Coturnix japonica: one gene and its partners. The protein of the gene in region 3 purifies or fractionates together with the protein of the main gene of each other region. This does not show direct contact. Links are inferred from orthologs where the notes say so. Each region holds a gene or a part of one and is shown on either strand. Other genes may lie near its edges.

What was found. The genes of interacting proteins can lie anywhere in the genome.
Region 1: the proteins of WWTR1 (region 3) and YWHAE purify together in Homo sapiens (co-immunoprecipitation; 5 studies listed by BioGRID and IntAct, with this or other methods). This does not show direct contact. The link is inferred for Coturnix japonica from reciprocal best matches to the Homo sapiens genes WWTR1 and YWHAE.
Region 2: the proteins of WWTR1 (region 3) and BTRC purify together in Homo sapiens (affinity purification with western blotting; 8 studies listed by BioGRID and IntAct, counting the BioPlex papers as one, with this or other methods). This does not show direct contact. The link is inferred for Coturnix japonica from reciprocal best matches to the Homo sapiens genes WWTR1 and BTRC.

Annotation. Positions count from the first base shown.
Region 1 is NC_029534.1:3,997,534-4,001,033, forward strand, and holds part of YWHAE (14-3-3 protein epsilon), read left to right. Parts: intron 1-1,920; coding exon 1,921-2,120; intron 2,121-3,500. UniProt on the Homo sapiens protein: Adapter protein implicated in the regulation of a large spectrum of both general and specialized signaling pathways. Binds to a large number of partners, usually by recognition of a phosphoserine or phosphothreonine motif.
Region 2 is NC_029521.1:19,976,710-19,980,209, forward strand, and holds part of BTRC (F-box/WD repeat-containing protein 1A), read right to left. Parts: intron 1,024-3,500; coding exon 862-1,023; 3' UTR 830-861; intron 1-829. UniProt on the Homo sapiens protein: Substrate recognition component of a SCF (SKP1-CUL1-F-box protein) E3 ubiquitin-protein ligase complex which mediates the ubiquitination and subsequent proteasomal degradation of target proteins. Recognizes and binds to phosphorylated target proteins.
Region 3 is NC_029524.1:21,181,945-21,185,444, forward strand, and holds part of WWTR1 (WW domain-containing transcription regulator protein 1), read left to right. Parts: intron 1-2,402; coding exon 2,403-2,602; intron 2,603-3,500. UniProt on the Homo sapiens protein: Transcriptional coactivator which acts as a downstream regulatory target in the Hippo signaling pathway that plays a pivotal role in organ size control and tumor suppression by restricting proliferation and promoting apoptosis.

The DNA of each region.
Region 1 (3,500 bases), on a different chromosome or scaffold from region 3:
CGTATGTCACACTGATGTATAAAGAGATACAAAGGTTTAGACAGTACAAGTTTGGGTGAAGGGTGGCGGTCACATTCAAAGATCTTCAGAGTGATGGTGGATGCCTGGAAATGAGCATGAAAGATGAGCACAGCATCACCACCTCCCCTGTTATCTGCATTACTTTCTAGGGGGTATTTCTTCTGCTCATGAACTCATATGACTCCTTTCATTTCAAGGAGTGAAAGGAGGGCTGTGCAGTCACAGCTACGGGTTCATCGCTGAAGCTGTGGCACAGTTTCAATTACTTTTCTTATCTGAGGGCAGTTAAACATTAAGCTAAAATACAAGCCTTATGGTTCTTGCTGGAGCTTGGCACAGATATCCAACTAGCTGGGACTGCGAGTCTTCATTCGTGTTGGTCGTCCTTCACAAGAGCAAACACTGTGGCAGGCAGACTGCCTTGAATGTACTTGAATGCTGCATAAGTAACATGAAAATCTGAGAACATAACTCATGATTTAAGGAAAAAAAGATCAAAGTTTTGAGATGATTTGAATAGATGGATGGGTCACCCTTTAGGAAAGAAATCCTAGAGCATGCACTGTTCAAGTTGTTTGCTGTAACTATATAGCACTGCTTTTAGGTTAGTTTAAATTATGAGACTGTGTACTTACACTAAGTATATTTAAAGAGCAGTTTAGGATGACTTTCTGAAATCTTCATCAAAAAGAGTTCATTTTAAATTGTAGGGTGTGGAAAACACTTACCCAAGTATCACTTATTGTTACTTCATGAGCTGGAGCAGCAGAATGTACTGGTAGAGGTAGGGCTGTTTTTTACTCCTGATGAGAACAGAGCTGCTATTAAATTGTCCTGCATATGTGGCAACCTGCTGGAGACTGATAACACCATTCCTGCAAGGGAGAAAATTGAGGCTGTAGTTCTATTACTGAAATGGCTTCTTTCCTGTGAAGGTGATGAGTTTGGGCACCTGATGGGGGAAGGGAAAGACAATTCAGATTCACTTGCATCTTCTTTCTTACTGCCATTATGCAGCAGAACATGTGAAGGTTTGGGGGTAGGGGAGGATGAGGATGTGAGGTAGATAGGGTTAGGGGCTGCAGGGGGCTCAGTCTTGCTCGTTAATGGCTTTCCTGTCTGTGGGGTTCTCATCTGCTCTAGAAGCTGAAAGGTAAAGGTTGAATGAGTGAAGCACTTGTTAGCAGGAGGTAACGTAGGGCTTCCGGGTATCTCAGACTAAGCTCTCTCAGCAGATATGTAATAATTTCAGCCTTTATGTTTCTGTTAGGTCATAGGAAATCATAATGTGATGAGGTAATGAAAGGATTAAAACCTTTAAGTAATTTAGGTTTTTACTTTCACTGGGACGTAGAAAAGCTGTATTTAGTAATCATTTTTTTTTTTTCACCTGAGGTTTGGGAGTCTTTTCTAAACGGTTTAATCTATAAATACAAATTACATTTACTGTGTTATTTTTCCAGTGCAAATAGTTGCTTGGCATGGCTGGGTGGTGCTGCTCTGCTTATCCTCAGGAGGACTCTCCTGTCACTTCTCCAAGCAGTTGATTTTTCTTCTGGTGGTTTCCTCGTGGAACTTCAACTTGCTTCCATAACGACAGTGTTCTTTCTGCTTTGCTTCTATGGAATCCTTCTGCTAAGCTGGTTTTGTTTGTGTCTCAAACTGTCTTGAAGGAATGTTTTGGGTACCCTTGTCAAATGCATTTGAAAGAGCATCAGGTAGTTCTTTGTGTATGTGCTCGCTGACTTGTTTGGAGCATTCCTCTATAAAAGCAAGGTGTAACTGGATGAAAGGAGGAGGGAGCCTATTTTGACAAGTTATCATTAATGCGCTGCTTCTCGTGAATGGTTTGAAAGATGCTTTAATACTGAGAATAACTGCGTGACCTTTTCTTCCTAGAAATGGTTGAATCAATGAAGAAAGTGGCTGGAATGGATGTGGAGTTGACAGTGGAAGAAAGAAACCTGCTTTCTGTTGCATATAAAAACGTGATTGGAGCCAGAAGAGCTTCCTGGAGAATAATCAGCAGCATTGAACAGAAAGAAGAAAACAAAGGAGGAGAAGATAAATTAAAAATGATTCGGGAATATCGGCAAATGGTAAGATGTAGTTGGTGCTGTAGTGTAGTGCCATTTAGCTAAGAAGATCTGGACTCTGGGTTTGTTACCATTAAGTTTAAGCACTCTTGTGTTTGTAGGAACAGGGAATATTAAGATATTCTGGACGTCTCAACTGTGAAACTTAGATGTATAATGAGCTGTAGGGCCTTGCTATTTTCTCCCTTCAGAAAGGGGGGAAGAATAGATGGAAATAACTGAATGGTGAGTCTAGTCAGCCTGTGCAGCTTTACCTAAAATGGAGAACTTGGAGTGAGCTGAGCCTTTCATCAGTGAGGGCTAATGAAACTGTTGGCTATTAGAACAGTGAGCTGTTCCCTGCCCCCCCAACCCTGGCCTCCTTAAGTGATGGTTTAATGTGGAGCAGACACTCTCATGTAGAATTGAAGTCCTACGCATTTCTGCAGAGACTTCAGATCCATCACTGCAGGATAAGTGCCTCCACGTTTCCCATCTTCACTCTCACAGAAACAGTGGAGTGTCTCTTTTAACTACCTGGCACTGATTCATATGCTGCCAATGGGAACGATGTTGGCTTGGGACTCCTTTCTGAAGAATGGCTCTGGACTGTTCTCTTTTGACTCATAGCATTTTGTTTGCTCTGTGGAATTGTTCAAGTTCTGAGTTTCTAATTTTATGCTGGCGTGCTGATGGGGTGCAGCTCTGCCAGTTACATACAGTCCCAAATACCATTTCTTGATGGGTATCTAAAATCTTCCAAGCAGAGCATATAAATTAAGACAGTATCATTTGTCTTAAACCTCATGCTTTGGGGTTTTTTTGCTTAACATTTTGTAGGCAGTTACTATCTTTTCCAGGGATCCTTTAATAGTGAAAAGACTTTTTATAGTCCTTCCAGAGACAATGAAGAAACACTGTTCTGCATCTCTTTTTAAAGCAAGAAAATGCTGTGCAGAATGGACTGGTGAGCAAGAACTATACACACATACACTCCTCAGAGTAGTGTATTGAGATAAATGTACAGGCCATGTAGAATGCACTGCTATACAACAGTACTTCCATGTGTTAAATTCTTCAAGGGAAGAGCCATCACAGGTCCTTTGGGTGCTGTGAGCTTTAAGTGGAAGAATGCTGTGGGGAGCACAGGAGTGCATTTCCATGGTGAAGAAAGAGTAGATGTGTCTGCCTGCCTGGCCTGAGTGCTCCAAGAGGCTCGTGCTGTTGGCTGTAGCTGAAGACCGAGTCTTGTTTGTAGCTACTGGAAGACTGTTTTATATGTGGAGAGCATTAATTGGATTGTTAAGGCAGAATTTGAGCACTGAGGGCCTAAAGAACATACACAAAGGTTTGGGTCCAGCTTCTCTTTTGCTGCTGACATGAGAGCTGCAGAACTGCCCTGCT
Region 2 (3,500 bases), on a different chromosome or scaffold from region 3:
GATTCAAGACGTGCTCCAGAACAGCATTTTCATGGCAAAATGTCACTGTGAACACCCCCTGCAGAAACCTGCCAGCTCATCTGCCTTTTTTCTCAAGCCTCTAACAGCATCAAAGTGGTCAATCGTGCCATGTCACTGTGATTACAAACATCAGATCCACTGTGCAACTGACCCAAACTTAAGAAACACAAATTCCTCCCCACGTTATGTTGGCCAAGACAAAGGGGGTAAGGCAATGAGTAAATCAGCCAGGCTCAGACATGAGCGATTTACACCCATGCTGTAGCATAAAGGAGTGCTAGGCCCAGCCTGTAAATGATTTTGCACACTGATGCAGCTTGATTTAATTTGCCTGGTCTTGTGCCTCAGTGCCTCCTCCCTTAGCCAAGCGGTTCTCTTGAATCAGCTTGCTGCAGAGCGAGAAGAATGGTCACCACTTCAGCGGGAAGGAATAAAGCTGATGCCTCTTGGCAAAACACTCCTTCCTGGTGACAACTGCCCAGGGTCAGGCCATCTGCATCCCCTTGTTAGGCAGCAGCTGCTCTACTCGCTCTGCAGAAACCCTTCTTCCTTCTAGGCAGCAGTAATAGCTGATTTAATTATTGATGATGATGGACAGTGGAGGAGTTCTTCAGGGGGAACTCATGGGCACCACATGTCAAGAATACTTGGATAAAACCCTTCTTTTACGGCAATAGAACCACTCCTGTCCTTTTACAGGACATTGCAGTTACTGTCCAATCACGATGAGGAATACCGATAGACCCAGCTAAGTATTCAAACTGCATGCTCACATTACGTCCAGTGTCATCTTTGAGATCATTTTTACCTGTGCGAGTGTGAGGTACAGTGTACTGTTATTTATCTTGAGATGTAGGTGTATGTTCTGGACGGGGAACGAGTGGATTCTGCTTGGGCAGCTGGGTCATTCAGAAAATCCCAGATGAGGATGGTGTCATCGTGTGAGCTGCTGACAATCTGGAACTCGTCAAACTGAAGTCGAAAAACTCTTCCAGAATGCTCCTAAATGGAAGACATGGCGTGTTAATTCACAAATTCCAGCATTGTATCAATTTCTCAGTCAGTAAACTCCATACAACACACTGCCCAGACCTATCACTAAACCACCCTTGGTGAAACAAGTTTGCCATATCAGTGTTCTTGGCTCACAAGGAATTTTACATTACATTTGTAGTATTATTCCTTCAGTCCCTATGAATGCACTGTGCAGAACAAACCAAGACCCCTCCACTATACAAGGCAGCCTTGCGAGGCTGATGGGAGCAAATCCTGCCTTGTTCTTTGGCTCCCTCCTGAAATCACGGTGTTCCCAGATGCTGAAGGTTACAGGGGGATTAGGATTTTGCAGTCAAGGCTTGGCAACACTGCTCCTGCTCAAGAGGGAAAAGCTTAACACTGGAGGACACTAAGGAGCCTGTTGTAAAGAAGTCCAGTGACACAGTAATAATTCCTCTTAAGCAGTTCTAAAAATATGAACTAGAAAGCGCATTCTTTATAGGCAGCTTGCATTCTGCTCTGAGGCTGAGTGGAAATGGCATGACGACTTGGCAAGAGTTCAGACTGTAATTAACAGGAGGTAACAGAAAGATCCTGAATATCACAAAGCAAATCCAGAAGGCTTTCCCTTTTGCACTGGCTGCTTTTTCTTGGTGCTTACTGCCACAGGAGCGAGCAGCAGCCTCCTCAGGAAGAAGGGAACAGAGACCATGCAGTTGGGACAAGCCCTCTCTCTCTAATACACATCCCTCTGTGGCCCAGGGTCAGAAAAAAAAATGCTCAGAAGCATTTTACAGCTTTTTCAAATATTTGGACAAAAGAGAAGCTTCTAAAACGGAAGGCTGTGTCTTATGGCACAGGACTCTGAAAATACAGCTTGGTTTAAAAACACGGAGAGAACAGAACAGCTGCCTTATAGGGAGCCTCTGAAGCTCTAAATCAAATACACACAATCCAAAATCAGATTCTATTTTGATGACAATTTTATTATAGAGCCCAATCATTGGGACCTTCCTGGTCTTCTGACCCAATAACCCTAGTGCACCTTACAAGCACTTCATGGGTTTACTCAGTACTAAAAAGAAAAGCATTTCCAGACCCTGTATCCCTGTATTGTATCAGTGAAGTAAAGCAATTCTTGCTAAAAAATATCACTACAATGGCCAGATCCACTGATAGACCCTTAGCAGATGCACCAAGAGAGAAGTGTTTCTACAAACTATTTTGAAAAGCCTTTTTCCTCTCAGCCACTGTAGGCTAAGACTGCCCTAGAAGTTCCATGCAGCCATCCCCATTGCATTTGCAGTGACAATAAGCAGACTGCACACCCTAAGCTGAGGCTGCAGGAAGCCGGGCCCTTCAGCTCAGAAGGAGAGTTGTGCTGTTTGCTTTTTCTGTGCCTGGAAAGCTTCTGTGACACTCGTGTGGCTGCTGTTCCAGCTAACGGGAGGGACCTGGCACGCAGAGAGCATTTGTTATCTGTGCACTTTCCTCCTACTGTTTGAAAATTGAACACGAGCAGCGGGAGACTCACGATGTTCATTGTGCAGCCAGGTTTAATTTTGGAGGCCGAGAGAAGAGAGGGGGAAAAAAAAACCACCACAACTATGGGTAAGCGGGTATAAGGACGCCCTGTTGTCATAAACATGAAAAGCCCTAAAAGCACTACGACAGCCTCCTCTGCCCCTCCTCTTCTGGCCTCCTCCATCGCTATCAAACAGGGATTTATGAGTATCCATGTGTCGAGATTCCTACAGTGTTTCCATCCCACCGCTTCTGATTTATAATACAATTAGTTGGGGCACTTTGGCTGTCCACTGCTGGAAAATGCAGAGGAAATCGCACCAGTTAAATTAAGTCTACAGGTTACTAGGCACACATTTGTCTCGGGCTGGAGCAGAAACACCACTAATATCACACTGAAGTCTTGGACTCTCGGGATACGTGTTCATGGGCACAGAGCTGTTCCACAGTTTGCAGCTGGGTGGCTGATGACAAAAAGGTTTTCTGGATTTCAGCCATGAAACTATTTGTAGTTCTCTGTGGCTACCAAGGAGGTTTTTCAACACAGCATCTGCAGGCATCCAAGGCTCTCACTGACTCTTACTCTGCAGCTTATGGTACAAATATAGGATTGGAGAAGAGCTAGTGTGGCTTAATGACCTACTGCCTGTCAACCCTCAGAGCCTGTGCAAAATGTGAAGCAAAATACTTTAGTGAAATTTGGGTGGTAGATGAGGGTGCAGGTGAAAATGAAAAGGTTGTTTTTGTGTGTTTATTTTCCCCATCAGATTTTGGAATTTACCGCTTTTCTTTAAGAAACTCCCTGCCAACAGCTCATGGAAAAAGGCACAGTTAAGCAAAGCCACCAACACATGAATTCCAAGCACAAGTCTCAAAAATGACTTAGTTCTTAACTTCAAATCAAGAAGCCAGATCTCTAGAAATGACTTTTAGATCCTGCAGGCTGGTGCTAAACTGAC
Region 3 (3,500 bases):
GATCTGGTGCAGATCTGCTGATAAAGGGGGAGTGTTTTAAAGCAAAGGCAGTAGGTAGCATGGCAAGTGGTATTACAACTCAGGCTCTAGCCCTGATTCACCATACACGCTATTAGACTTCACTTAACTTTGCCTGGTTCTATAATTTGTATGTGCTGCTTAGATGAAAACAGTGTTTATATGTAAGACTGACTGTATTGTGGTGTAATCCCTCAGCCAGCCTGGATTGTAAGTGTAGCTGTCCTGTCAGTCAACCAACCACTGACATGCCAAAGATCTAAACTCATGTTTACACATGTGAAAAGAGTTAAATTCCTGCTGAAGTGTTTATGGTACTGGAAATTTAACACCAGATTTACACTGATATTCTTCATATAATTGTACTTATAATATTTCTTAATTATTTTAATTAGAATGAGACTAGATCCTCTGTGTTTCAAAGCTTTCCATTACAAAAGTAGTTTGATTCTTGCACCCATCTCTCATTCCTACCTTTCCTTCTTGGCGCCGCAGTTTGCTGTCCTTTAGAGATTTGCCAGTGAAAAGCTGGATTTGTCCATCTTTCCTCTTCCCTGAAAACAGTTTATTTCTCCCATCTGTTCTCCTGTGTTCACTGAGCATAAACATTTTCACAGCTACCCAGTGCTTTTGTTAGGAACCTGTCTAACTAGAAAATACCTTTCTAGCTTCAGGCAATTTTTAGTTTGTTATACAGCTACAGAAATGTGTTGGCCAGCCCAGTAAAAGGATGACTTGTGGGCAGGAGCAAGCAGCTGAGCATGGAAGAGGTGGTAACAGTCAATACCCCTGTTTCATGAGGAAGCATGATGTCATTTTTGTGGATACAGCTGTCTGTGGACCACATACCCTAAGTCAGTGGAAAGGTTACATTACTGCAGGGCTTCTTTTAGCTTGGATTATTTCTCGAGCTGAATTTGCCACTGAAGCTAAAATATCATAACTGCGCTCTCAGATGACCCCACAGTGCTAGGACCTATGTGATACTGGGTCATCCAGAAAGAAAGATGTTGGAGTGGGTCCAGAGGAGGGCCACAAAGAAAATCAGAGGGCTGGAGCACATCCCCTGTGAGGACAGGCTGAGGGAGCTGATGCTCTTGAGCCTAAGCAGCCTTCCAGGACCTGAAGGGGACCCACAGGAAAGATGGAGAGGGATTTCTTATGAAGGCATGTAGAGACAGGACAGGAGGAAATAGCTTTAAAATGGAAGAGGGTAGTTTTAGACTAGATATCAGGAGAAGGTACTTTACTATGAGGGTGGTGACACACTGGCACGGGTTTCCCAGAGAGGCTGTGGATGTCCCCTCTGTGGTAACACTCAAGGCCAGGCTGGATGGGACTGTGAACAACCTGGTCTAGTGAGGAGTGTCCCTGCCTACAGAAGAAGAGTTGGAACTAGATGATCTTGAAGGTCCCTTCCAACCCAAATCATTTCTATGATTCACTCTGTTATTCTGTGAAAATTCAGTTCAGATCTGATGTAAGCACGTATGAATATTTCAGCCTAATGAAGCATGGCAAAATGTATCCTGGCCCAATGCCTGCATACCTCCAATTGCAGAATGACAGACAATACCTGATTTGGCAGAAAGCTCGGAGAGCTTTCAGACTCTGAAATTATCAACCCATCTCTTTCAGTGCACACTTCCAAGAGTTCTTGCTGTACTGCATCCTACAGTGTTAGATGCGAACTCAGCATAAAGATCAAGTTCTGAGAAGCAGAGAACTGTGTTGAGATTTCAGTTTTCATATGGTAAGAGCAGTGAGTGAGAGACAAGAAAGAAACAAATCTCAGTTCCTTGGGAAGAAAGATAAAGTAGCTCTTCTGAGAAGTACTTTATTATCTAGGGTGTTGTTGTTAAAAAAGAGATGCTTTCTTAGTTATGCTGTCACCTCATTAGTGAAAGAATACTTGCAAAAATGTCAGTGAATTTTTAAAGCGGTATGTGGCTACCACTTATCATTCAAACTGATTTCAGGCACCATACTTGTTTTTTTCCTGGAAATGTGAAGGCAGGGGAGGAAATGAGGAACAATTCACCCTGTGGTTCACAAAGGATATTGCATTTCTGAGAACTGGTATGTTTTATTTAAAGGTAAAGTGGAGGTAATGTCAAAACTGTGCATGCAAGCAAAGCAAAAGGATGAATTCCTTCACTACTTCATATCAGCAGGCAGATGTGAAGCTGTTTCCAGGAAAATAGGATTTCAGCATGGGTATTGGTTACTTAGGAAGACAAATGCATTGTGCATTTTCTTGCAGAGCACATCCCCATCTGGTTTGAGATATCTCTTTGATCACCTGTGTCCCACTGTACTCCCACCTCAGACTTATGTGCCCCCCCCGCCACTCACTGAGCACACCTGTGATTTCTTTCCTGCAGTTATGAATCACCAGCACCAAATAACAGGCAACACATCCATCTCACAGCAAAGCTGTCCTTCCCAGACTCCACAGCCAGGCCTATTGAACATGCCCAATGCACTGACGGCGCAGCAGCAGCAGCAGCAGAAACTGAGGCTCCAGCGAATCCAAATGGAGAGGGAACGAATAAGGATGCGCCAGGAGGAGTTAATGCGACAGGTAACGTTGAGGATACACTTCTATTTTGCTCAATAACTTTTCTTTTACCCGGTGCAAATAGTAGCACTGTTGCTTGTTGTCGTGATTAACTACTGCTTTAGGTGAAAATAACAAAAAATGAATATAAATGGAGTCTTTGTGAAAAGACAGAGAACGTTTCATTTTTTCACTGCAATGAGAATATTTGTATAAACAGCTTATAATGACGTATTTGCTTCATATTTACTTTTTTCACTTTTGCCTCCTTTAAGCATAGAAGAATTGAAGGAAACGATGTTTTACAAAATTCAGAACAATCATTTGTAGTTGTACAAAAAAAGCAAAAAAAAAAAACCATTAAAATTATGTCCTTTTACAAATCCTGAAGTAACACATTCCTATCTTTACATGTGATTATTCCCATCATCCTTGGTGAATGGAAACAGTATTGTAGCTAAACATATGCCCTTGCTGAACAGTGGTGAATGGCAGATACAAGTCTATTAATGTCTCTGACATGTTTTACTGGCTCACGTCATGAATTTGACTTTTATGGTTCAGGTTTGAGTGCAGAAACTCTGCAGATGCTGTCTTGTGTTCATGCTCAATTTTCATTAACCCTAATTTATGGGAATTACATTGTGCTACATCATCTGTGTGTGTAGAATGACTGTGTTCAGTGTGGTGTTCTCTGACTTGATTGGTAATCTTAAACCTTGTGCATACCTTCACTGTTACTGTCCAGAACTGAGGACATAATAGGGAACATAGAAGAGATGGAAGAAAGTGGGCATATCTGGTGTGAGTTTAGTCATATTTTTATCATGCTAGTAACATGTTCCACTATTTTTACTCTCTTTGGTCCTGTTCTTGCTTCAGGACAACAGCAAATTAAGCATCAAAACAGTTGAGCAATTAA